Linked DNA regions of Rhinolophus ferrumequinum. The protein of the gene in region 1 purifies or fractionates together with the protein of each later gene. This does not show direct contact. Links are inferred from orthologs where the notes say so. Each region holds a gene or a part of one and is shown on either strand. Other genes may lie near its edges.

Region 1 (7,237 bases):
ACCCACTCCTTCTCCGCACTCAGGTCTCTGATTAAACAATCCCTCCTCATTAGGGCCTTCTCTGGCTACTTGACCTTTACCCTGCTTTCTTTTTCTTCCATCAATTACCACCCATGGCACTTTAAATATTATTACTGCTTGCCTCCCCCATTAGAATCAAGCTCCAAAGGGGCAGGGTCATTTGTTTCGGTCACCACTGCATCTCCAGCACACCACCACTGCATCTGGCACAAAGTATGGGCTCAAAAAATATTAAATACACTGTTAAACCTCTGGGTTCTGCTGCATGGAGAAAGCACCCACTCTGTTCATTCAGGATGTAGGGGATCAGGTGGTGACCAGAGCCCTGGGCCCTACCCTCAAGCAGTTCCCAAACAGGGAGATGGCCACACCATTTGCAACCCTAGAGAACAGGGAAGGTTCATGGGAGTCTTGTGACTTTCATCTGTAAGGTGGAGATAAGGAGGTAACACAGTGCTCACCTCAGAGTTGAAAAGATTAAATGACTTAATCCACACAAAGCACTCAATACACTGCCTGGTACACTCGAGGTAAAGTCCTCCCTCCCACTTAGGGGACAAACCACTAGACATAAGAGACTTTCAACCCCCAGGCCTGATAGAACAGAGACCTGAAAAGTGTGGGTACGGCATGGGGTACAGTGGGCACAAGTGTAAACTTTCAGTCCCAGATACTCAAAACATACCTAATCCATTTCATGTCCTGGCGCTCTAAGAAAAATGTACTAAGGTAACCATTTCAAAATATATACATAAATCAGCACACCGTACACCTTAAACTTACACAACTTTTTATCAATTATATCTTAATAAAGCAGGAAAAAATAGGTATATGTTAAAAAAAAGAAAGAAAAACGTACTAAAAATACCCACTCTTCAGAAAAACACATTCACACAGACTTCTACAAGCATGTGTGTGAGGGGATCCACAGACTGGTTTAAAACTGCTCTCCGATAGCCTTCCCCATCTCAAAAATAGCAACTCCATCCTTCTCGTCACACACATCAAAACCATTAGTTATCCTTGAACTCCTCTCTCACACCTACATACAAACTGTTGGCTCTATTTTCAAAATGTATTCCCAAATCGTGACAATTTGTTAGCCAGGTCCACTGCTACAACCCTGGTCCAAGCCACATTATCTCCTAGTAGATTACAGTAACAAATTTCCTACTGATGTCCCTGCTACCACTCTTGCTCCCTGAAGTCTTTTACACACAGAAGCAAGAGGATCCTTTTAAAAGTGTCAGTCAAGTCTGACTGACATCACATCCCTGCTCAGAAATCCAAAGGCTTCCTTTCTCCATCAGACTAAAATCCCACTAAAGAGCTGACTCCTGATAACGTCCTCAACTTCATATCCTACCGTAACACAGTGGGGGAAGGCTTGGGAGGAAGGTACCTTTTCTGTTTCTGGGAGAATCAGGCTACAGATGCCTGCAGGCCTGCCAAGGTCTCAGTTGGAGATACACAGCCTAGCACCTCCCACCCCACTTCATCATTAGATCCCCAAACACTTAAGAGAAAGGGAACTTGGGTACACAAATGACCCTCCCCACCAGATGACTCCATCTCTCTACATGCTGAGAGAAAAAAAAAAGGAAAAAAAGAAAACCTGTACTAGAAAACAGACCCTTTCTGTCACAGTGGAAGATTTCCCCTACTCCAGTGGAGCAAGGTGGGAAGAGGGGCAACCGCCTAATTTAGGAAGAACTGAGACACCAGGGAATAGGATCCTAATTTTGTTCCCGCAAGGAAGATAAAGATAGCAACTAGAGCCAATACTATTATGTTAAGCGCTGTGCTATTTTTTCCAGCTTTATTGAAATATAATTGACATACAACATTCTGTAAGTTTAAGGTGTAAAACCTGTTGATTTGATACACTTACATATTGCAAAATGATTACCAGGTGCTATTTTTTCTTAACATGATCTTACTAAATTGTAACTGGGCGCCATTTTATAGATGAGAAAACTGAGGCTCAGAGAGGTAAAGCTACTTGCCCAAGATCACACAGTAAGGAAGCAGAGCCAGGGTGGAAACTTTGAACTGAGGCCCTTCTGCTGTCAAAGCCAGGGCTCTCGTGACAGGGAGGTGGGGTGGGTTCATTAGAATCTCTAGGAAAATTGAATGAATAAAACCACTCTTCCCTGTGACTACCTCCCTCCCACACCGCACGCTGGTCCTATCCTGGGCTTCTGAAATCTCATCTCACCGTGGGAGTTGAGAATGACTAGGCCCGTGATCTCCACTCCATCCTCAGGGACCCGCCCCCTCGGGAGTGTAGAAAGCGCGAAAGTGGGCCAGAGAGGGCCACATACTATCAAGCTGGGTGGGAGTCCTCATTCACTCCGACCCTCTCCGAAAAGCTAGGCTGGGGGCCAAGGGGACGGCGGTAGCCGGCGGCAACAGGGAGGCAAATGGGGGTCTGAAAGCGACCCAACTCCCAGAATTTCCACCTTTGAACCAAGACAGATTCCCCCAAACCCACGCCCCAGATGCCTGGATCCAAACTCTGGGTCAGGACCTCCGAGTGCCGCCCACGGCCCAATTCACAAGACTCCTAACGACAGCCTCAATGAGACGAATCCCAGCTCAGAACTCCCCCAATCCGAGGCCCAAGACCCTCGACTCACCATCGTGATCTCCGAAGCCAATCACAAACCTCCAGACCAGGAACCCGAACCCCAGGCTCACGATCGCTCACAGGGCGGAACCAAGACACTCTTCTACACGAGACCGGAACCAGGACCCCCTCCCCACACAAAACCGGACCCGGCTCTCAGAACCCCGGCCCCAGGCCATGGCTCCGCCCCTCCGATCCCCATCTGACATCCCGGTTCCCGCCCGACCCCAGCCCCTGACCTCCGACCCCAACCCCGGCCTGCACCTGGCCTCATGGCGACCGCTGAAGTGCGTGGCTCAGGAGTCTGCGGCGTCCGGGATCCCACGAGTCTGGAGCTTTCGCACGTGGAAAGGAGCGCACGCGCGCGGGGACGTACGGCGTGTGACGCAACCACGCAGCCCTACCCCCGGAGCCCCAGTCCCGCCCAGAGCCCGGCGCGCGCGCTCTGGGCGGGGATTTCCCTGATCCGGGGACCGCCCCCTCAGCTCGCTCCCGGCGCTTCTTTTACCGGAGCGGCGGTCTCTACGCAAAACACGCTTCCTCCTTCCCCCTTCGCGTGTTCGAGCACCCCAGGAATCAGGACTCATCACCAAGCCTTCCACGGGCTGTGCCCGCTGCCTCTCTTCTCTAGTGCCAGTTAACTCCCTAAGGTCTCCTCTACCCCCAAAAGCTTTCCCTGACCCATTTCCACCCTCAGAACAGGAACCCACCCCGGACTGTGCCCCTGTCTGTACCAGACACTTCTCGGCACGGGAATACGGCAGTGAACAAGACATACAAATCCCCACACTCCCGGAGCTCATCTTCTAATGGGCAAACAGACACCAAATAAGTTAGTAAAACGTTGAGTGTTAGAAGGCAGTAAGTGCTTTAGAGGGGAAAAAAAAGGCAGGGAAGGGTATAGGGATTGTTGGGGGAGGGGTAAAATTTCTCATAAGGTGGTTAAGGGGTGCATCTGGTGACTTTTGAGCGAAGAGCTAACGGAGGTGAGAAGCGAGGCATGCACTTATCTGGGGGAAGAAAGTTCCAGGCAAAGAGGATTGCAGGTCGAAAGGCCCTGAGGCAGGAAAGGAACGGAGGGCTGGAGAAACAGTGAGGAGTGGTTGGGGCAGAGTGAGCAGGAGAGAGTGGGAGGAGATGAAGGCAGAGAGGTAACAAGAACATTGTGTGGGGCCTTGTGGGCCGTGGTGAGAACTTCGGCTTTTACTCGGACTGAGATGGAGCTGTGGAAGGGTCCTGAACAGAGAAGGCATGTGATCTGACATGGGGTCACTCTGGCTGCATGTAGAAAACAGCGTGGGAGTAGGGGTGGGAACAGGAAGACCATGGAGGGACCTACTGCAATGGATCGAGTAGGAGACAAGGATGGACAAGGTCAGGGTGTGGGCAGAGAGAAATGGGTAAGGAGTAAGCAATTCCGCGTAAGTGTTGAGAATTTTGTGCCTTGTCGCTTTATAATATTAATACTCATCCCTATATTCATTCCACAAAGCAAAACAAGTGCTATTATGAGACGTTGCAAACAACCTCCAAGAGAACCCACTGGTCTGTTCAGTTCATTGTTGTATCCCTCCATACCTAGAACAGGACCTGGCACAGAGTGGGTGCTCAACAAATGTTTGTTGAAGGAGTGAATGAGACTGTTTTGAGTTCTCGGGGCAGGGTGATCCAGGGCACAGAAACGTTCCTGAAAATTTGTTTAACTATTAAGATGGAAAATCTGCTGAGCCTATTCTGGATTTCCAGGAGCTGTGCAATAATTCAAACAGCTCCAGTTCAGGATAATGTTACCTACTTCTTATGGATTTTACTGTTTGTCTCCCAATTAAAAAAAATTTTTTCCCATAAAGGGCAAAAATACTCAAGAGTTAGTGCAAATTTAAGATCGCTAGCCCTGTTTTCGGGAATCTTGGCATCATCTCCTGGCTCTGAGTTATTTCCTGTCAGCTTGCTCCTCAGACCTGAAATTGGCACTCTCAGCGAATAATTAGTGGGTGCCTTCTGGTCTTGTGCTGGGGACACAATAGTGGCTGAAACAGTGCCGGGGCCTGCCCTCCTGGAGCTGCTAGTCCAGTAGGGAAGAGAGACCAGTTCCCAGACAGTGTCAGCCTAGAGCAGTCAGGGCCAGAATAGGGAAGGTAGAGGCAGAATGGTTAAGGCTGGGATGGGAGAGGCACTGAGGGCTTTTCCCAACATCTCCCTATATCCTCACCTCCCTCTGAACCTTCTTTTTACCTTCCTAGCGCTCCGGAAGACATGCCTTTCCATGCAGCCCCTCCAAGTGGGGGCTGTTTCCACCTCCTCAGCCCTCATGCCCACTGGGCCTGTATATTGGGTAAGATCCTCTTTGCTCCTCATTTTCACTTCTAAACCATTCTCTCTGCCTCCTCCCTAATCCCCTAAGTTTGAAGTTTCTACCGTAGCACCTACTCCCATTCTTGCTGCCAGCTCTGTCAACCCCCAAGTCACTGCCGCTCACGTGATCATTTTAGCTCCAGGCTCACTGCCAATCAAGCTGCTCCTATTAAAATTCATGGTGAGTTCCAAATTCAGGTAGGTGACTGTGATGGCCTCTCGATGTCTTGACCTCCGCTCCTTTAGCGATCTTTCCTCCACCCAACACTTCCTTCCCACAGTCACACCTAGACCTTGTTCGGGACACAGTGGTGACTGTGGCAGCCCAGAGGTCCCAGCTGAGTGGGGAAGAAAGACCTGTCCCCAGACAGTGACAGCCCCGTAACAGCCGCCCTTACAGAACCTCAGTTCCATGCATCTCACTGCGTGCCCGTCACCTCCTGTCTCTCCAGCTTACTCCCTCGAAAGCTATTACTGCAACAATCTGTCAGCCCTGACAGTTCACTAAGCTGACCGCCTTTTCCCTGTCCCCTCACTACTATTCCCACCGCCCAGCCTGACTCCCCATCCACGTTATCACCACTCCTTTTCTCACACCCTCATACTGTGTACTTTTTCACCCCATTGAATCGACTTTCCACCTCCTCTGTACCTGCACCCTGGCAGCTAAGTGTGGATGGAGAAAAACACACCTCCACCCTGGCTGATCGCACTTTGTGTTCATGACCACAAACCCAAGTGGGCCCCAATGCCTCTCCACCATCCTATCCCATGTCCCTAATCCTCCCATTTTACTTTTTTCCCTCTTCGTTGTATTGGTAATGTGTTATTTTTTATACACTTTATTAAGGCATAACTTATATATCAGACAATGCACCTATTTTTAAATGTACAGTTCGATGAATTTTAGTAAGTGTATACTAAATTGTGCAACCATCTTAACAATCCAGTGTCAGAACACGTCCGTCATCCCATTTTGTACAAATGGAATCCTACAAGCTGTAGTTTTCTGTGTCTGGTTTTCGTCACTCGGCATCAGGTTCCACGTGGTTGTGTTTATCAGTGGTTCCTTCCTTTTTATCGGTGAGGATTCCATACTATGAGCATACTGCATTTTGTTTATCCATTTGCCTGTTGATGGGCATTCAAGTTGTTTCCAGTTTGGGCTTATTATGAATAATGCTGCCGTGAACATTCACGTACAAATATTTGTGTGGACCTAAGCTTTCAATTTTCTTGAGAAGAGTCCTCGGAGTCAAATGGCCGAATCTCATGGTGAGAGTACGTTTAACTTTTAAAGAAACGGACACAGTTTTCCAAAGTGGTTGGACCTATTTTGTTGAAGGATTATTTTACACTTTCTCCTCTCTCGTCAAACCTCAAAAACTTCTCCTGCTTTCTTTTTTATTAAATTTATTGGGGCGATATTGATTAATAAAATTATATAGGTTTCAAGTATAGAATTCTATAATACGTCACCTATATATTGCATTGAGTGTTGAGCACCCAAAGTCAAATCTTCCGTCACCATATATTTGACCCCTTTGACCCTACTCCTAGCTGATGACCTTGCTTCCCATTTGAATGCGAAGGTGGAAGCAATCACAAGAGAACTTCAGTGTCCTGCTGTCTCCCTATCTACCAGCCAATTGAGCCTGTTACCTCATATGCTGTAAAAGAAAACTGTTTCTGGATTCGCACACTTAACTTCTGACACCAAATGCATGAGTTTTCCACACCAAGCAAGTCCCCAATTCTCTGCAGATTCCAGCTGCTGTCCTACAATTTAGTTCAATTCGGACACTAACTACCCAGCGTTTGCATCAGACCTCACAGGTTAAGGGCTCAGTCCCTCAAGACTGCGTCCACTTCAGACACCAATAGGAAGTGAAGGCCACCCATATTTCTGACCGACTGGCAGTAAATCAGTTTTCACAACCTGCTCCTCTGTTCAATAATTTGCTAGAACAGCTCACAAGACTCAGGAAAATGTTTTACTTACTATTACTGGTTTATTATAAAGGATATAACTCAGGAACAGCCAAATGGCAGAACTGCGTAGGGCATGATACGGAGGAAACAGCATGGCGCTTCCATGCTTTCTCTGCTTGTGCCATCCTCCGAGCGCTTCAATATGTTCACCAATACAGCAGCTCTCAGAACTCCGTTGTTTAAAATTTTTATAGAGGCTTCATTCCTTAGGCATGATTGATTAAGTCGTTAGCTATTAGC
Region 2 (7,385 bases), on another chromosome or scaffold:
AGGTGGCCGCCACCAGCGTCATCACAATAGTAAAGTCCAAGACGGACGCCCGGTCGTAGGGACATGCGCTTGCCCAGGCGGGTCTTCGAGGGGCCACTAGGCGCATGGCGAATTTGGCAGCCCTGTCCCCCCTTTCTCCTCTCCTTCCCTCTTCCTCTCCTACCTCCTCCCTTCCCTGCAAAGCACAACCTGCACCCCAGGGGCACCGGGCTGAGCCCCTTGATCTCGTCGTTGTCATCATGTGTTTTGTATGTTGGGATTGGTCAGTTCGGTGGTGACGTGGGGCCGCCCCAGCCCTTTGTACTAAGGCCATGTGGGCTTGGAGTCCAGAGTGGTCCTGTGCGAATGGGCAGAAAGATCGAGCAAACACTAGGGGCTCAAGGGTCCCTGAGCAGGGAGCGTGCTAGGCTGAGTGTCCCATAGGCTCTGGCGGCCGCCTGCACTGGCAGGGGCCTGGGTAGTTCACAGCTCAGCCAGAGGTATAGATGGGCTCTGCTCCGAGGAGGGTGTCCTTGGGGACCCTGGACAGGCAGGCCACCAGCCTAGGTGCTTGGGGGATGGGGCGTCGTGCGGCTATGGGCCCGGGCCTCGGCACTCTCGCCTGACGCATTGCACTGAACAAGACCAAACCACTGGTTGTGAGCGTACGTGAAGGGTGTGTCCAGTGTCCTGCGATGGGTCCCGTGTCACTGTTTACATGACCTATTTGTGTGGTTACATAGCCCTTTATTTAAAAGAGAGAAGTTCCTTTTACGAAGTTATTAAATTATATGTTTAAAAGCTAAAGAAAAAAAAAGAGCTGCAGAGTATTTATAAAACTGTCTTTTTAAAAAAAAAAAACAAAAAACAAGCAAGAACATTTGACCATATAAATGGAAAAGGGAAGAAAGTATAATAGAAACTGCTAGTTTAAAAAAAGAAAAAAAAATCCCTTTCTTGTAAACTTACAGACAAGTCTTTGTGGCTGTTGGAGTTTAGTTTTTATATACACAGAGTTATCAGATGTTATTTATAAAACTTAGTTTAAAAAAAAGACAAAAAAAAAAAGCCAAGCCGCGAGCGACCAGAAGGCACGTCCTGACGTCCTCTTTGCTCTCTCTTTTGCAATTGTACCGAAAGTGACTTACTCCTTTGCCCTTCCTGCTTCCGTCTCCTGTCTCCTGCCGGTGCAGTGGTGTCGTCTGTGCCTGGTGAGGTGTTGTGCAGCGTCACGTGCTGGTGCTTCTGGTGACCTTTGACCTGTGGGTGTCACTTCTTGTGTCTATTTTCCTGTGTTTGTTTTGGATTTGGTTGTGTTTTGCTTCTGCTGGCTTGCCAGGCTCAGGCTGGGGTGCCAGGCGGTACGTGCTGCAGCAGAGCTGGGGGGGTTGGTGCCCACCAGCCTGGCCTCTTCTGCCTCAGCGTCTGCCCCAGACCTCCAGGAGGTCAGATTCCGGGCTCTGCCACTCCTACCCCCACTCCCCTCTGACCCTTGGCTTCGCATGCGTGTCTCAGGCTTGGGCTGATCCATTGGCAGGGTAGGTGAAACTGGGGGCCATCCCGGGGGCTCCCCATGCTGCTACCATGCCCACCGCCTCTGGCCCTGGGTGGGGGATTTGCAGGGACCAAGGAGTCACTGTGGGTGCCCACGGGGCCACGGCCAAGCTGCCCCTGCCGTCTTCCTTCTGGTGTCCAGTCACCGTGCTTGGGCTCTGGCCACTGACCCCAGCTTTGTTCTTCTAGGCTTCACATGGGCCTCAGCAGGGGAACCCCAGGGGCCCACATAGGGGTTGCAAGACCTGCTGCCCAGTTGTCCCAGGACTGTTTCCATGCTGCGGGTGGTGCTTCCCAGGCAAAACCAGGTGGTTTCGGGGCCCACCTGGGGCGGTCCTTTCTGCCTGCCTGAGGGCCTGGGGGTCTCCACCAGTGCCAGACAAGGGCTAGTGTCCAGGGCCGGTCCTGCCCCTCCTCGCCCCTGAATGTGCTGGCAGCTCTCGGCTTTGGGCCTTCTTCCGCCTCCCTTTGGGTCTGTGTCTTCCAGGGATCCACTGCCCAGCTTATGGAGGTGCTTCTCTTGGACTGAGCCCACACTCACCCCCATCCCGGCCACTCGGCAGAGGCAGCCAGTCTCCCAGACTCGGGTGGGAAGCTCATAGGCACGTGACGGGCTGCCTGTGGCGTCTCCCCAGGAGGCTAGTGCCCCGTCTCCAGCCACATGGGCCTCATTTGGCCTCTCCTTGGGTTGGCTTCTCTGGGGGCCCTGACCCCCTGAAAAGCACAGAAGTGCATCAGTGCTGCCTGGTAGGGTTTAAATTAACCTTGTGGGCAGCAGGATTTTCATCCCAGAATTTGACCCAGTGTGCCCATGGGATGGGAGTAGGATGTGCTGTCAACTTCTGCCATCTCGATGGGCTTCTGTGGACCCTAAATGCTCAGAGACGTTCCTAGTTGTACTGGAGTCAGCCTGCAATGGAGATGTTGACTGTTGACTCCAGATCACAGAGTGGCTTCCTCCCCTTCCAGTCTGTCTGTTTCGCAGGCTCCAGACGAGAGTTGTCAATGGTTGTAGCAGCAGTGAGTTGGAATTGCATCATAACAGCCCCTAAAGGGAGGTCACGTTCTGCCCTGGTGGTGGGAGGAACAGACCCTCCATGTCCATCTACGGTCCCCACTTTTGTCCTGGCCGGGAGGTCGTTGTCCACTTCGGCACACCCCTGCCAGGCTGTAGACCTGGAGGGTTTGAGGGCAGGCATGTGTTAACACATATTGCAAGGCCTTGGTTTCTGGAAGTTTCTGGAGTTAGTGAGGCCGTGGTTTCTTTCAGGGTTTTTGGATTTGGAACAACTGCTCCTTGGGTCTGGGGGAGCATCCAGTTCCCATCAAGCCAGGCCTGCAGGGCCACTCCACCCCTTTCCCTCCCCTTGGTTTCTTGACAGTAGACTGTGTCCACATGTGACTGGTTGGTGTCTTTCTGATTCTTGTTAATTTGGTTTTCCTACTGTGAGGGTGTTGTGTCCCCTCTCTCCCCTCCACTTTTCTGACACAGCAAATCGAGGGCTTCGGCCAAAGCCAGGTCTCCCAAACTTGTCCGCTCAGTAAACCACAACGTGCACCTTTGCTCCCACCGTGCCCTCGCCCAACTCCTCCCTGTCCCAACATGGACATTTAGATTTCAGAGAAGCCTGTGGGAAGAGGTCAGCTCCTTCCCAGAGTACGGCCCCAGGGAAAACTCCCCACAGCCCTTGGCTGCTGCTCCGGTGGCACTACCCTTTGTACAGGTGAGAACATGCGGCTGCTGTATGGCAGCTGGCAAGTGTGCTGGTTTCTGACGGGCTTTCCTCCTGTTGGTCCAGGCTTCCGGTCTGTGTGCACAACCCGGACCGTCAGCAACAGCCTCAGTGGTCAGTGCCCGGCCCACAGCTCTGATCTATAGCCTGCTTTGGGACGGGTGGTCAGGCCCCATCCGGTCCCCGCTGCCTCCATCTCTGGAGTGGCCACTTGGCCAAAGCTCCTGTCCACAGCTGGAAAGCCGGAGCCACAGGCTGCAGTGCTGTTTCCGCTCTGGGATCTTGTAAGTTACTTTTTTAGGCTGTGGTTTGGTGAAAGGAACCAACACATTAACGATTTTTTTCCCCAGAAGCCACTGAATAATTCTTTTTGGCGCGTTTTTGCCTTCCTGTTGGCTGTCTGGTTTTGGAGCAGATGGGGACAGAGAGCGGAGGACACACAGAGGCAGGGGTGTGCCCTCGAGACTGATGGCCTGTCCTGGGCGTGTGCTGTACCTGTTGGGCCAGTCGCATACATTTCCACCCCAGCCTTGGTATGTGGGTGTCCCCAGTGAACTATGAGGAGCGACCCTTCCAGCAACCTCGTGTCCCAGCACCTCCCTTCTTCCCATCCCCTCAATCTGCTAGTCCCGGAAGCCTTTAACCAAACGGGAGTGGGTACAGAAAGCCTTCTCCTGGCATCTTAGGGCAACAGGACAAGGGCTGCCAGTGTGTCCAGCTCTGCTGCTCTCCTGGCGCTGAGAGGGTGGGTCCAGGCAGAGTTGATCAGACCCTGCCTGTCCTGCCTAGGGCTGAAGTCAGGGGGAGGTGGGGGTATCCTGGGATCTGCCCGGGCGGCGGGGATCGTCGAAGCTCCAGGTGGGGAGGGGCCTCGTGAGGGCGGCCCGCTTAGGCGCCCACCCTGCCCTGTGCAGTATTTATTGCTAAATTATTGTCCAGGAGGGGCGGCACTGGGCCGGGCCCCGGGTATTTATTGCTGTACATAGTGTATGTTTGTGATATATAAGGTTTTCTTTATTTTGTATATGATCAATAAACACCTTTTAAAGAGACTTGGCAGGTGCTTAAATTGGGGCGGTGCGGGCGGGGCCGGAAGGGCGGGGCAGGGCCTAGCGCGCATGTGCCGGCGCGCGGCCTGCCGGGAGGCGGAAGCGGAAGCGTGGATCTCCTCGGGGCGATGGCAGCCGGGGGTCTGAGCCGCTCGGAGCGCAAGGCGGCCGAGCGGGTCCGGAGGCTGCGGGAGGAGCAGCAGCGGGAGCGCCTCCGCCAGGTATGTCACCTCTTGCCCCGCCCCGCATCCCCGCCTCGCGTCGCCCTCACCACCTGCCCCGCGCCCGCAGGTGTCGCGCATCCTGAGGAAGGCGGCGGCCGAGCGCAGCGCAGAGGAGGGCCGGCTCCTGGCCGAGAGCGCGGACCTGGTGACCGAGTTGCAGGGCCGGAGCAGGCGGCGCGAGGGCCTGAAGCGGCGGCAGGAGGAGGCGAGTCCCGCGCGGCGCCCGGGTCTGCGGGCCTCTCGCCGGGTCGGGGGCGGGGCTTACGAGCGGTCTGGGTGTCTCGGCAGGTGTGCGACGACCCGGAGGAGCTGCGGCGGAAAGTCCGGGAGCTGGCCGGAGCCGTGCGGAACGCCAAATACCTGGTCGTCTACACTGGCGCGGGCATCAGCACGGTAGGGAGGCGAGGCGTGACCATGGCCGTGCGCCCGGGTCGACTCCCAGGTCCGGACGAATGTCGGACCACCGGGCGGGGGGCTGGAGGGGACGCGCCCGGGGCGCCCCCTTCTGGGCGTGTGACCCAAGGACTGAGGAAAACTACTGGTTCGCAAAAAAACTCACTTTAAAAGCAGCCCTGAGGTTCTTTCCTCTCTTAGAAAAGCCGGAGATGACTCAATTTGGAACGTCACTGAGTAGAGAAACGTTTTTACAGGATTGAAGTCCGAGTTAGACCCAGTTAGCGACGAGAAAGGAAAAGGAATAGAAAGGGGACGTAATAACTTAGTTCTTGCAGGCACCTCTTCGTTTAAGCCAAGGAGGTTAATTTACTGTCCCAAAGTTATGTGGGCAGAGGTAAGCCCCAAACTGTGTCCTGATTCCCCGTTCATTGTTTTTCTGAGTGTTGAAGGAAGGTAAAGCAGAAAGCAAGGCCGTAAAAATTAAAGTACACCCGGCAAAGAAGGGAGGTGTGTTGGGTTTTGAAAACTTCCATGGAGATGTTCTCCTGGGCCATGGAATGGGTATGAGCTGCTTTGACAACGTGGGTGGCACGTTATCTGTCTGTCTGATGGGGTGGATTGAGTGTGAGCCGCGTGCAGGCCCAGCAGAGGTGAACACAGGATTTCCATCCTGGAGAAGCCCACAGGTGACATGAAAAGGCATATAAGCATGTAGCTGTCACGTGAAGCTGGCTGTGTTAGGTCAACAATTGAAATCCACACACACCCCGTGGTCTCAGCTGGGAAATTATCCCAGCTGGGTTTTTGTAGGAGGTGACACTGCGTCTGGGCCTCGAAGTGTGGGTAAGATTTTACGGGTGGTGACATGAGGCAGGGATGAGTGCAGGGCAGTGGCTAGAATGTGTCGGGTGGGCTGACGGTTGTGACTTACGGACCCTCCGGAGCCCTGGCAATCTGGTCTCCTCCCTCCACATTCACGGGTGAACTCCCGTCGTGTGATTATTTAAAAGCAATAATAATACCTCTGAAAGAGCTTCAGGTGCCTACTTAAAGGTGTGTGCTGCTCATTAATTTGGGGTGAGTGTTGCTGTTTGAGTTTCCCCTGTGTGATGTGAGTCGGAACCACGGGTCAGGGTGGGCACTTTTTGGAGCGTAAGCAGCAGGGAGGAGACAGGGCTCCACAGAAGGAGCACAGAACACCTGGATCCTGGCACACTCTCTCTCTTTGTCTTGCGTGGCTTTGTTCCACTGGATTGGGAACTTGGGCAATTCAGTGGTGTTTATCTCTCACCTGGAGAGGTTGGCCTGTCTTTGTGAAGGTAGGGCAGGAAGCACAGCATCAAGGTGGAAGAATTTGGACAGAGGAGGGATCCCACCTAGGGGATCACCTCTGCATCTTTCTGGTGTACTGGCTAGGCCCAGGGGACACACAGGTGAGGCTGACCAGTCCCACCCTCAGTGTGGAGGACAGGTGTGGCTGCAGAGCCAGGCTGTACTGAGGATGGCTCCCAGAGGAAGCGTAGCTGGAAGGATGAGCTGGACCAGGTGAGAGCGGGAGTCCAGGCAGAGGGAAAGAGCCACATGGGCTACTCTCCATCTGGGTTCAGGCATGTTAGACTAGGAAATGCTGAGCCTGTGGAATGAATAGAGGCCGGTCTGCAGGTCAGCCTGCAACACGCTGGGAGAAACATATGCTTTCTGTCCTTGGGAATTCTGTCAGTGGCTTCTGTGATGCCTTTTTACCAGGCTTATCTTCTTTCTGAACATGCAGGCAGCCTCTATCCCAGATTACCGGGGTCCTAATGGAGTGTGGACGCTGCTTCAGAAAGGGAGAAGTGTTAGGTAAGCAGTCTGCCCAGCCTTGCCACCGAGGGAGCAGGGCAGCAGGAGCCTGACCACGAAGCTCCCTTCACCTGTACCCCCTTTCACCTGGCAGTGCTGCCGACCTGAGTGAGGCCGAGCCGACCCTCACCCACATGAGCATCGCCCGCTTACATGAGCAGAAGCTGGTAAGAGCCCTGTGTGGCCAGCTGCTGTGCTTGCCGTGTCCACAGCGTGGGACCTGGAGCACCATTTTGGTGCTATAGTGACAACTGCATCCTACTTCTATGGCCAGTGGACCCCCGTAATGCGTGCCCACCAAGCAGTTTAGAGTCCTGGTTTGGGCCTCCCTCTGATCCTCCATGCTTTCTCTTCAAGAGGGCAGCTTCCCCTCTGAGTCATCCCAGCTAGAACTCATAGGAAGTCTCTGGAGACCTTCTGCTGAGCATCTCCAACCAAGTGGGGAAGGGTCGATCCTCCTGGGTCTTCAGGGACCTGAAACTGACCCAAGAGGGCATCAGCCTGGGCTTGAGCCCCGTGCAGCCGAGGCTCACCCTGCTGACACTCCCAGTGTGTCAGCCTTTGTTGGGGCCGGCCGTGCTGAGCCCTGCTCGGACCAGCCTGCTGCC
Region 3 (7,198 bases), on another chromosome or scaffold:
CAGTAAGAAATGGGCAGAGAGAGGCAGCATTGTAGAATTTGTGGGCCAGCTTTTATCTATGGGAGATGAAGAAGGCATCAGAAGAGTGAGACTGCCCGAATTGGATTTTAAATGACTACTGTGTTGAGAATTTACTGTACAGGAAACAAATAGGAAATTATTGCAATAATTGAGATAGTGATGAAAATGGCTCATACAAGTGTGGCAGAATGAAGGTCATAAGAGATGATCAGTTTTTGGATATATTTTAAAGATAAAACCAACAGGATCTGCTGATGAGTGGATGTACAATGTGAGTGAGAGAAGTCTGGGATGACGACACAGTTTTTTGGCAACGTGGGTTTGTATCCTGGGAGGCTCTGCCACTTACTGTTTGACCTACACAAGTTACTTAATACCTCTCTGCCTCAGTTTCTCCATCTATGAAATGGGGGTAATAACAGTACCTACCTAATAAGACTGTTGTGATTATTTTATATAAAAAAAGCTTAGAAGTGTGCCTCCCACTATGTATACACTAAGTATTGCTATCACCATCGTCATCATCATCATATTACCTGCTTGCTTGTGAAAAGATGGAGTTTCAGGAAGAATAGGTTTGGGGATGGGATGAAGATCATGAATTCAGTTTTGAACATGTTAAGTTTCTATTGGACATCCAAGTGAAGACGTTAAACATACAGCTGGACATCAGCAGAGTTTAGCAGGAAGATCAGGGCGAGAGAAATATATGTAGGAACTGGCGACATATATAGACAATATCCAAAACCACAAAACTAAATAAGGTCCCTCTAGGGCAGGGGTGTCCAAACTTTTTTCAACGTTTTTCACCAAGGGCCATATTCGGTAAAATACACAAACAGCCAGGCCACTCACTCGAGGTGAAGTACATATGGCCTCACCTGGTTTATTTAAGTAAACTAAATATATTTTTGGAATTTGCTGTGGGCCAATAAAAAATGGATTGCGGCCCACTTTGCCCGTGGGCCGCAGTTTAGACACCCTTGCTCCAGGGAGTGAATACAAAATAGCTTCGAGGACTGAGCCTGGGGGAACTCAACATTTTAGAAGTTGGGAAGACAATGAGGAACCAGCATCCTTCTTCCAGGAGCGGCATCCTGGATATAATAATAAGGTGGTTCAAGAAGAAAGGAGTATTTAGCTGTTTCGAATGATGCTCAGAGATCCAGTAAGATAAAGAATGACAAATGATCATTGGATTTTACAACAAAGAGGCATTGGGAAGCCCTAATAAGAACTGTTTTGAAACAGTGGAGATGAAAATCAGGTGGAATAAGTTCAAGAAAAAATGGGAGTAAATGAATTGGAAACCACAAATATGGACAACTCTTCAAAGGAATATTGTTGCAAAAAGGGATAGAAAAAGAGATGCATCAGTAAACAAATAGATGATTATATGAGAAAACATAGGTAAAGCACTGAGAATAATATGCCTGGTACATAGTAGGCACAAACACCAGCCAAATACAGATAGATCTAAACTTGTGTTTATCCAAGTCTTTGACAAAAATGTGGACCAAGAAGTGCCCTAAAACTTGCTACTAGAGAATTAACAAAGGAGTTTGAATAACAAGCTTTTGAGTTGCTAAAATACTTTTGATAATGTGAGAAAATGTGTTAGAACTCAATGAACGCAACCTCTTAATTTTTTAGAAAACAAAAGTTGAAAACAGAAAGCCAAAAAAACAAACAAACAGTAAGCCAAGTTGACTTGCCCAAAGTTACCAAACTAATTCACTGAAAAACCAAGAGCCAAAATTAAAACCTAGTTCTCCTACTTCCTATTCTGGTTTTCATTACATTTTCTTTAATCTCTCCCTCTCTCTGACAGAAAGGCTGAAAATATTAAGATTGCAATTTCTGTGTTCCCTCTACTTCTGCCTGGCCCTTCTCCTCCTCCAATCTACCACAGGCTGTTCTGTTCTTGACTCTACCACTTTATTTTAATCCAATAAAAACTATGGTTGTTAAAAGGTGTTTTGGGGGAGATATAACATTTTAGTTACCAAAAATTCCACATTATTTCCTATCAAAAAAAATCTACAATAAAACACAAACCTATGCATCACATAGAAAGTAGCTTAATTTTCCCATCTGCAACTAATATAATGTGTAAGAAAAAGTTCACAAGTTGAAATATCACCACATTGATACTGATGGTGAGGAACATTTACTATAACTGACTTTACAGACGTTTAAAATCAGAATATTTCAAAAACTAATAAATCAGAACACAGGATTTTTTGTTTGTTTTCTACAAAACCTTAAGGAAGTAAATCTACTTTTAAACACTATACCGTACTTTTACCACCATGATGGTAGCAGATCCATTTCTTACTTTTAGTACATGAGCCACATTGATAATATGCTGACAATGTCAATTAAAAGTAACACTTGCTGAAATATAAATTAATGTCCCCTTTTACTTTTTTTATATTTAATAATGGCTTAACAGGGGTTTTAGTACTCAGTTTTAGTGATAAGCATTCGATTTCAAACAATCAATAAAGCTGAAGTTTATCAGTTAAAAGATATCTAGCAAACCCAATCACTTTATCTTTAAAACAATACCTTTTAGATTTCAAGCTTTAAACTATAGGTTCTGATATAAATCACCTCTCACGGTTATTTTTTTTAACCCTAGAATGTGCTTCAACTTCCAGCTAAAAGCTTCCACTCTGTTAATTACCATTCTACTATTATTTTCTTAACCTATCCTCATCCCAAAAATGTTGCACATCTACACTGAGGTATATGTAACTGTGCAGCACTCTTAACTTCCTGAGTCACTAAAATGAGCTTATCTGACATAAAAGGCAGCAGTAAGAATGTTGGAATAAACGTATTTGAAAATTAATCTTCTCATTCCACTCGCTAGTAAATGCAGTCAAAATATTAGCGACTGTTCTAAATATCTAGATTTTTACCCTGGTTTTTAAATATTCTAAAGACATACCAATGCCATTTCGGCATTAATAGCACCAACCGAGTCCTAAGAGCTCCGCCGACGTTCGAATCTGAACGTGTTTCTTTTAGGAAGCTGCCTGAGTGGTCTCAACCAACACTCCACACCAAACACTGCTTTTTTCAAATCTAGCCGTGGTGTTCCAGTTTTCGACACCCTTGTTATGTGCAAATGTATTTTTCTTATTAATCAGCCGCTTGAGGGCAGAGACCTGTTTTACAGGCTGCACACCCGGGGGGACCAACAGTGCCTGGAGCTTACAAAGAATGTACCCACGCAAACTATTAATAGCACATATGAGGTAGGATTTAGTCCTTTCATTTACGATTTCATTTAGTCCTTTCAGCAGCCCTGGGGAACAGGTACTATTAATCATCCCTATTTTACAGATGATCACAATGATGCTCAGAAAGGTTGTCGCTAGCCCGGGTCACAAAGGTAGTAAAAGGGGCATAAACCAGGATTCCATGTCTGATTTGTCTGAATGCGAGCACACTTAACCACCACCAACGCGGCCTCTCAACTACACTCGTGACCACCACAGGATATCCTTTTATCTTTCATACACAGTAGGGTCGATTCTAAGCCCGGGATCAGGGGGGTCACACTGGGCAAGCCCAGAGGCCTCTAGTAAGGATGAAGACTCCTCGCTCCAACACTAAGAAGTGAAACACTCCGAACTGAGTGTTTTTGAGCGGCGAGAGGAGATGCGGAGCGAGGTGAACCGGATCGCTGTAACCCAGGCAGGGCCTCCCCTCCCCAGCACTCGAGTGCCGGAGCCAAACGCCGAGGCCGGCGGGAAACCCAGCCCGCCGGTCCCTGCCGGTTCCAGCCGGGTACTCCAGGGCAGCCCGGGGGAGACTAGCCGCGCGGCCTCCGCGGCTCACAGACAGCCCCGCGCGACTGACGCGCCCCCGGGAGGGAGGAGCGCGTGGAGATCAAAGCAGGGACCGACGCACCTCGGGCGGGAGAAGGCAGAGGGGGCTCGCCCTCACTCTGGAGCAGCGGCGGCAGCTCTTCGATGGCTCAGCAGCCGAGGGAAGCGGAGAAATGTGAGCGGCCTACTTTCGCGAGCAACCTTCGGTGAAGAAAAAGCCAAAAAGCGGCTGCAGCCCGAGCAGCGTTGAGCGTTACACCGCCCGTCGCCCCGCCTCTTCCTGTGCCCCTCCCCGAGCCACTTCCGGTGAAGGCTCCGTAGCTTGCTCTAGTTACTCCAGCTCGCTTCAGGCGGGAACGACCTCATCTCCGTTCCTCACCCTACACCACGGGGCGCGCCGGCGAGGCCTGCTTTCGGTCTCCAATAACCCAGCAGAGGCCGAGTGGCCGGTCCCGTGCCGTTTACCGCAGGGCTGCCTCCTCTGAGGTGGTAAAATGTGCTGCGAGAAGTGGAGCCGCGTGGCTGAAATGATTCTCTTCATTGAAGACCTAGAGGAGGATTATAAAATCCTTTGCCTCTGCTCCAGGGCGTTTGTGGAGTAAGTAAAAACGTCTTCCTCTTCCTTTCTAGCACGATCATTTCCCAGAAATGTAGGTGTTGCAGACTATTTGTAACTGCTCCCTGGAACCACGGACAGAGTATTTGACCCTTAGGCAAGGTGATGTTTAAGAAAAAGGGGTAAAAGTCCTCAGACTTTACGGAGTGGTCCCCTACTGCAGTTAAGTGAAGGAGTAAATCTACTTTGTAGGCTGTTAGGAAAAAAATGTGGTGGCTTATATATGTAATTTTATTTTCATTGTAAATACAGGGGCATTTTAAAATTGGGGGAAAGTGAAATGTAAAATGAAATCTCGTTAATGGATGTGACATCACAAGGTGATGGTTTGAAAGATGAGTAACTTGTGTTGGTTATCGTCATTTTTAAAACCTTAAGATTTATTAAAGCGCAAAAGCACACACATAGAACTTGTAATTACCTAAGGTAAAAGATTTAACTAATCACATCCGTTTTTGAGCAGTCTTTATCTTTGGAAAATATATGTTTTGGGTTAAAATTTTCATGCATGGAAGATAACTAGTGAGTAGGAAAACTGCCTAAAGAATTATATTCTAGGGATTGTTTTCTTTATATTCGATGTGTGAGTTCAGCCACTTAATTTTTGCTCATCTCTAAAACAGGTGTATTTACCATAATCATCTCACAGGCTTATTGTTAGATTCAACTTGTAGAAGTGAATTTTAATGTAGCTTAATGTAGTAGAATTTAAGTTTGAAACAGTGCTTCATCATTTGTTTTTGTGGGGTAATCTGAAAATCCGATAGAAATTAAACACTATGTTATATTTATGTGAAAGTATTGACATTTTTGTATTCACGTATGCATGTATTCATTCAGTCAACAAATCTTAGTTGTGCTTCTTTGTATTATGTACGAGTAGGCACGGGGGTACAAGACACAGCCAGTCCCTACACCCTTTGAATTTACTTTCTAGAGAAGGAGATCAATATTAAGACAACTGTTACATAATTATCTGATTAATTATAGTTATAAGTGCTATGGAAGAGAAGTACAGGATGCTGTGGTGGCAGAAACCTAACCTTTCTCCACAGATGACAATGATTTCTTTAAGGAAGTACAGTAGCATTTGAAAAGAGGTCTAAAGTGTGAATGGAAATAAACTGGGATATGTTTATTTAATGGAGGAAGCATTCCCCAATCAGAACTCTCTGAAAGCCTTGAGAAAGCAAAAGAAAGCCTGTGAAAATAAAACAAAATGACTGGGAAAGAAAGACAGAAGATAGGGTTCATGAAGTAGATAGAAAATAGGGTTAATGAAGTAGGCAGGATCAAAATATGCAGAGTTTTTTGGAGGACGGGATCATTTTTAAATGATCATTACGTTTTTAAAGATTACTCTAGCAGCAGGGTGGGGGATGGTTTAGAGAAGGAGAACCACTTAAAAAAACCATTTTCCAGGCAACAGATTATCGTGGCGTGGATAAGGATTGGTGGCAGTGGAAATGGAGAAAGGAGGAAATATAGGAGAGAAATTGTTGAGTTTAGGGGATTGGATTGGATGTAGGGGAATGAAGGAAAGGTAAAAGATGGGAAAGAGGAGAGTAGGTCAAGGGTAACTCCCTGGTTTCCAGCTTATATTGATGTGTTTCACTGAGATAGGGGTCACTAGTGAGTCATGGGTTTTGGGGGGTATAGCAGAAGATAATAAAAAGATAATCAACTTACTGTGTTTTGATTTTGGAGTAGCTATCAGATATCCAAGATTAAATGTCATAGGTACTTAAATATATTGGTTTGGAGCTCTAGAGAAGTCTTAAAACCTTGAGCCATTCTAGTATAGTCATTGAAGCCATTGATTTAGCACTTGGGGCGGGGGTTGGGAAGAAGTGGGATCCATCTTTGAGGAATTCCAACATTTTGTGAAGATTAAAAGGGGAGGAAAAGGTAGAAGACAAGCTCAAGTATACTGTCACCAAATGTTTGAAGAAAGGAGTACATTGGAAAGCTGATGCAATATCAAGCAAATTGAAAACTAAAAAATATCCACTTATAATTGGCAGGTTTTTTTAATAAAAGCTACTTGCTGAGTGCCAGGCACTAATTGTTTTACACTTCATTCTGTTTTTTTCCCCATGTAAGCATCCCAGCAACACCCTGAGATATGTCTTGTAATCTTTATTTTGTTCTAGTAGAAAACGTAGTCTCAATAATGGCCTTTTTAAAAAAAAATCCCAGTCAGGTAAGTGGCAGCCCTGGAGGTCTTTTAATTTGTCTAGAACATAAGTGAATCTTTCTGATTAAGGTATTTAAGTGGTCTAAAGTCACTGACACTGGTGACTCGTTAAAATACTTTAACATAATGTATTTTAGTTGAGATAGAGAACTGCTGCGGAAACTGAAGAGCCTGAATTTATCTCTGGTCATACCTATGTGACAGTGTCTAGTGGTGATGTCTGGTTTTTCATATACAGAAGAATCATAAACTCAACAAAATCATTGGATATGTCCTTTCCCACAAGTTCCTGAGCCAGAATTTAAAAGAATATTGTCCTTAGGAGCAGAATATCTATCTGGGCTTCACATCCCAGCTCTACCAATAATCAGCTGTGTGGCCTTGGACAAGTCACATAACATTTCTGTGATCTCATTTCGGCACTTTCAGAAAGGACTTCCTTTTATTACTATTATACTTGAAACTAATCCACAGCCCTTTTGCAGTAGAGAAATTGCTATTTGTACTTAAGAAATTTCCAAG

What was found. Proteins that work in one complex are often made in the same cells at the same time.
Region 2: the proteins of FBL (region 1) and SIRT7 purify together in Homo sapiens (affinity purification with mass spectrometry; 3 studies listed by BioGRID, with this or other methods). This does not show direct contact. The link is inferred for Rhinolophus ferrumequinum from reciprocal best matches to the Homo sapiens genes FBL and SIRT7.
Region 3: the proteins of FBL (region 1) and TGS1 purify together in Homo sapiens (affinity purification with mass spectrometry; 3 studies listed by BioGRID and IntAct, counting the BioPlex papers as one, with this or other methods). This does not show direct contact. The link is inferred for Rhinolophus ferrumequinum from reciprocal best matches to the Homo sapiens genes FBL and TGS1.

The regions. Positions count from the first base shown.
Region 1 is NC_046298.1:38,810,851-38,818,087, forward strand, and holds the start of FBL (rRNA 2'-O-methyltransferase fibrillarin), read right to left. Parts: upstream 3,015-7,237; 5' UTR 2,925-3,014; coding exon 2,915-2,924; intron 1-2,914.
Region 2 is NC_046304.1:54,692,962-54,700,346, reverse strand, and holds the start of SIRT7 (NAD-dependent protein deacetylase sirtuin-7), read left to right. Parts: upstream 1-4,376; 5' UTR 4,377-4,443; coding exon 4,444-4,536; intron 4,537-4,606; coding exon 4,607-4,744; intron 4,745-4,827; coding exon 4,828-4,932; intron 4,933-6,706; coding exon 6,707-6,777; intron 6,778-6,871; coding exon 6,872-6,944; intron 6,945-7,385. Other genes in the region: transcription factor MafG, read left to right, coding at 1-59. UniProt on the Homo sapiens protein: NAD-dependent protein-lysine deacylase that can act both as a deacetylase or deacylase (desuccinylase, depropionylase, deglutarylase and dedecanoylase), depending on the context. Specifically mediates deacetylation of histone H3 at 'Lys-18' (H3K18Ac).
Region 3 is NC_046297.1:22,291,821-22,299,018, reverse strand, and holds the start of TGS1 (trimethylguanosine synthase), read left to right. Parts: upstream 1-4,189; 5' UTR 4,190-4,357; coding exon 4,358-4,461; intron 4,462-7,198. UniProt on the Homo sapiens protein: Catalyzes the 2 serial methylation steps for the conversion of the 7-monomethylguanosine (m(7)G) caps of snRNAs and snoRNAs to a 2,2,7-trimethylguanosine (m(2,2,7)G) cap structure.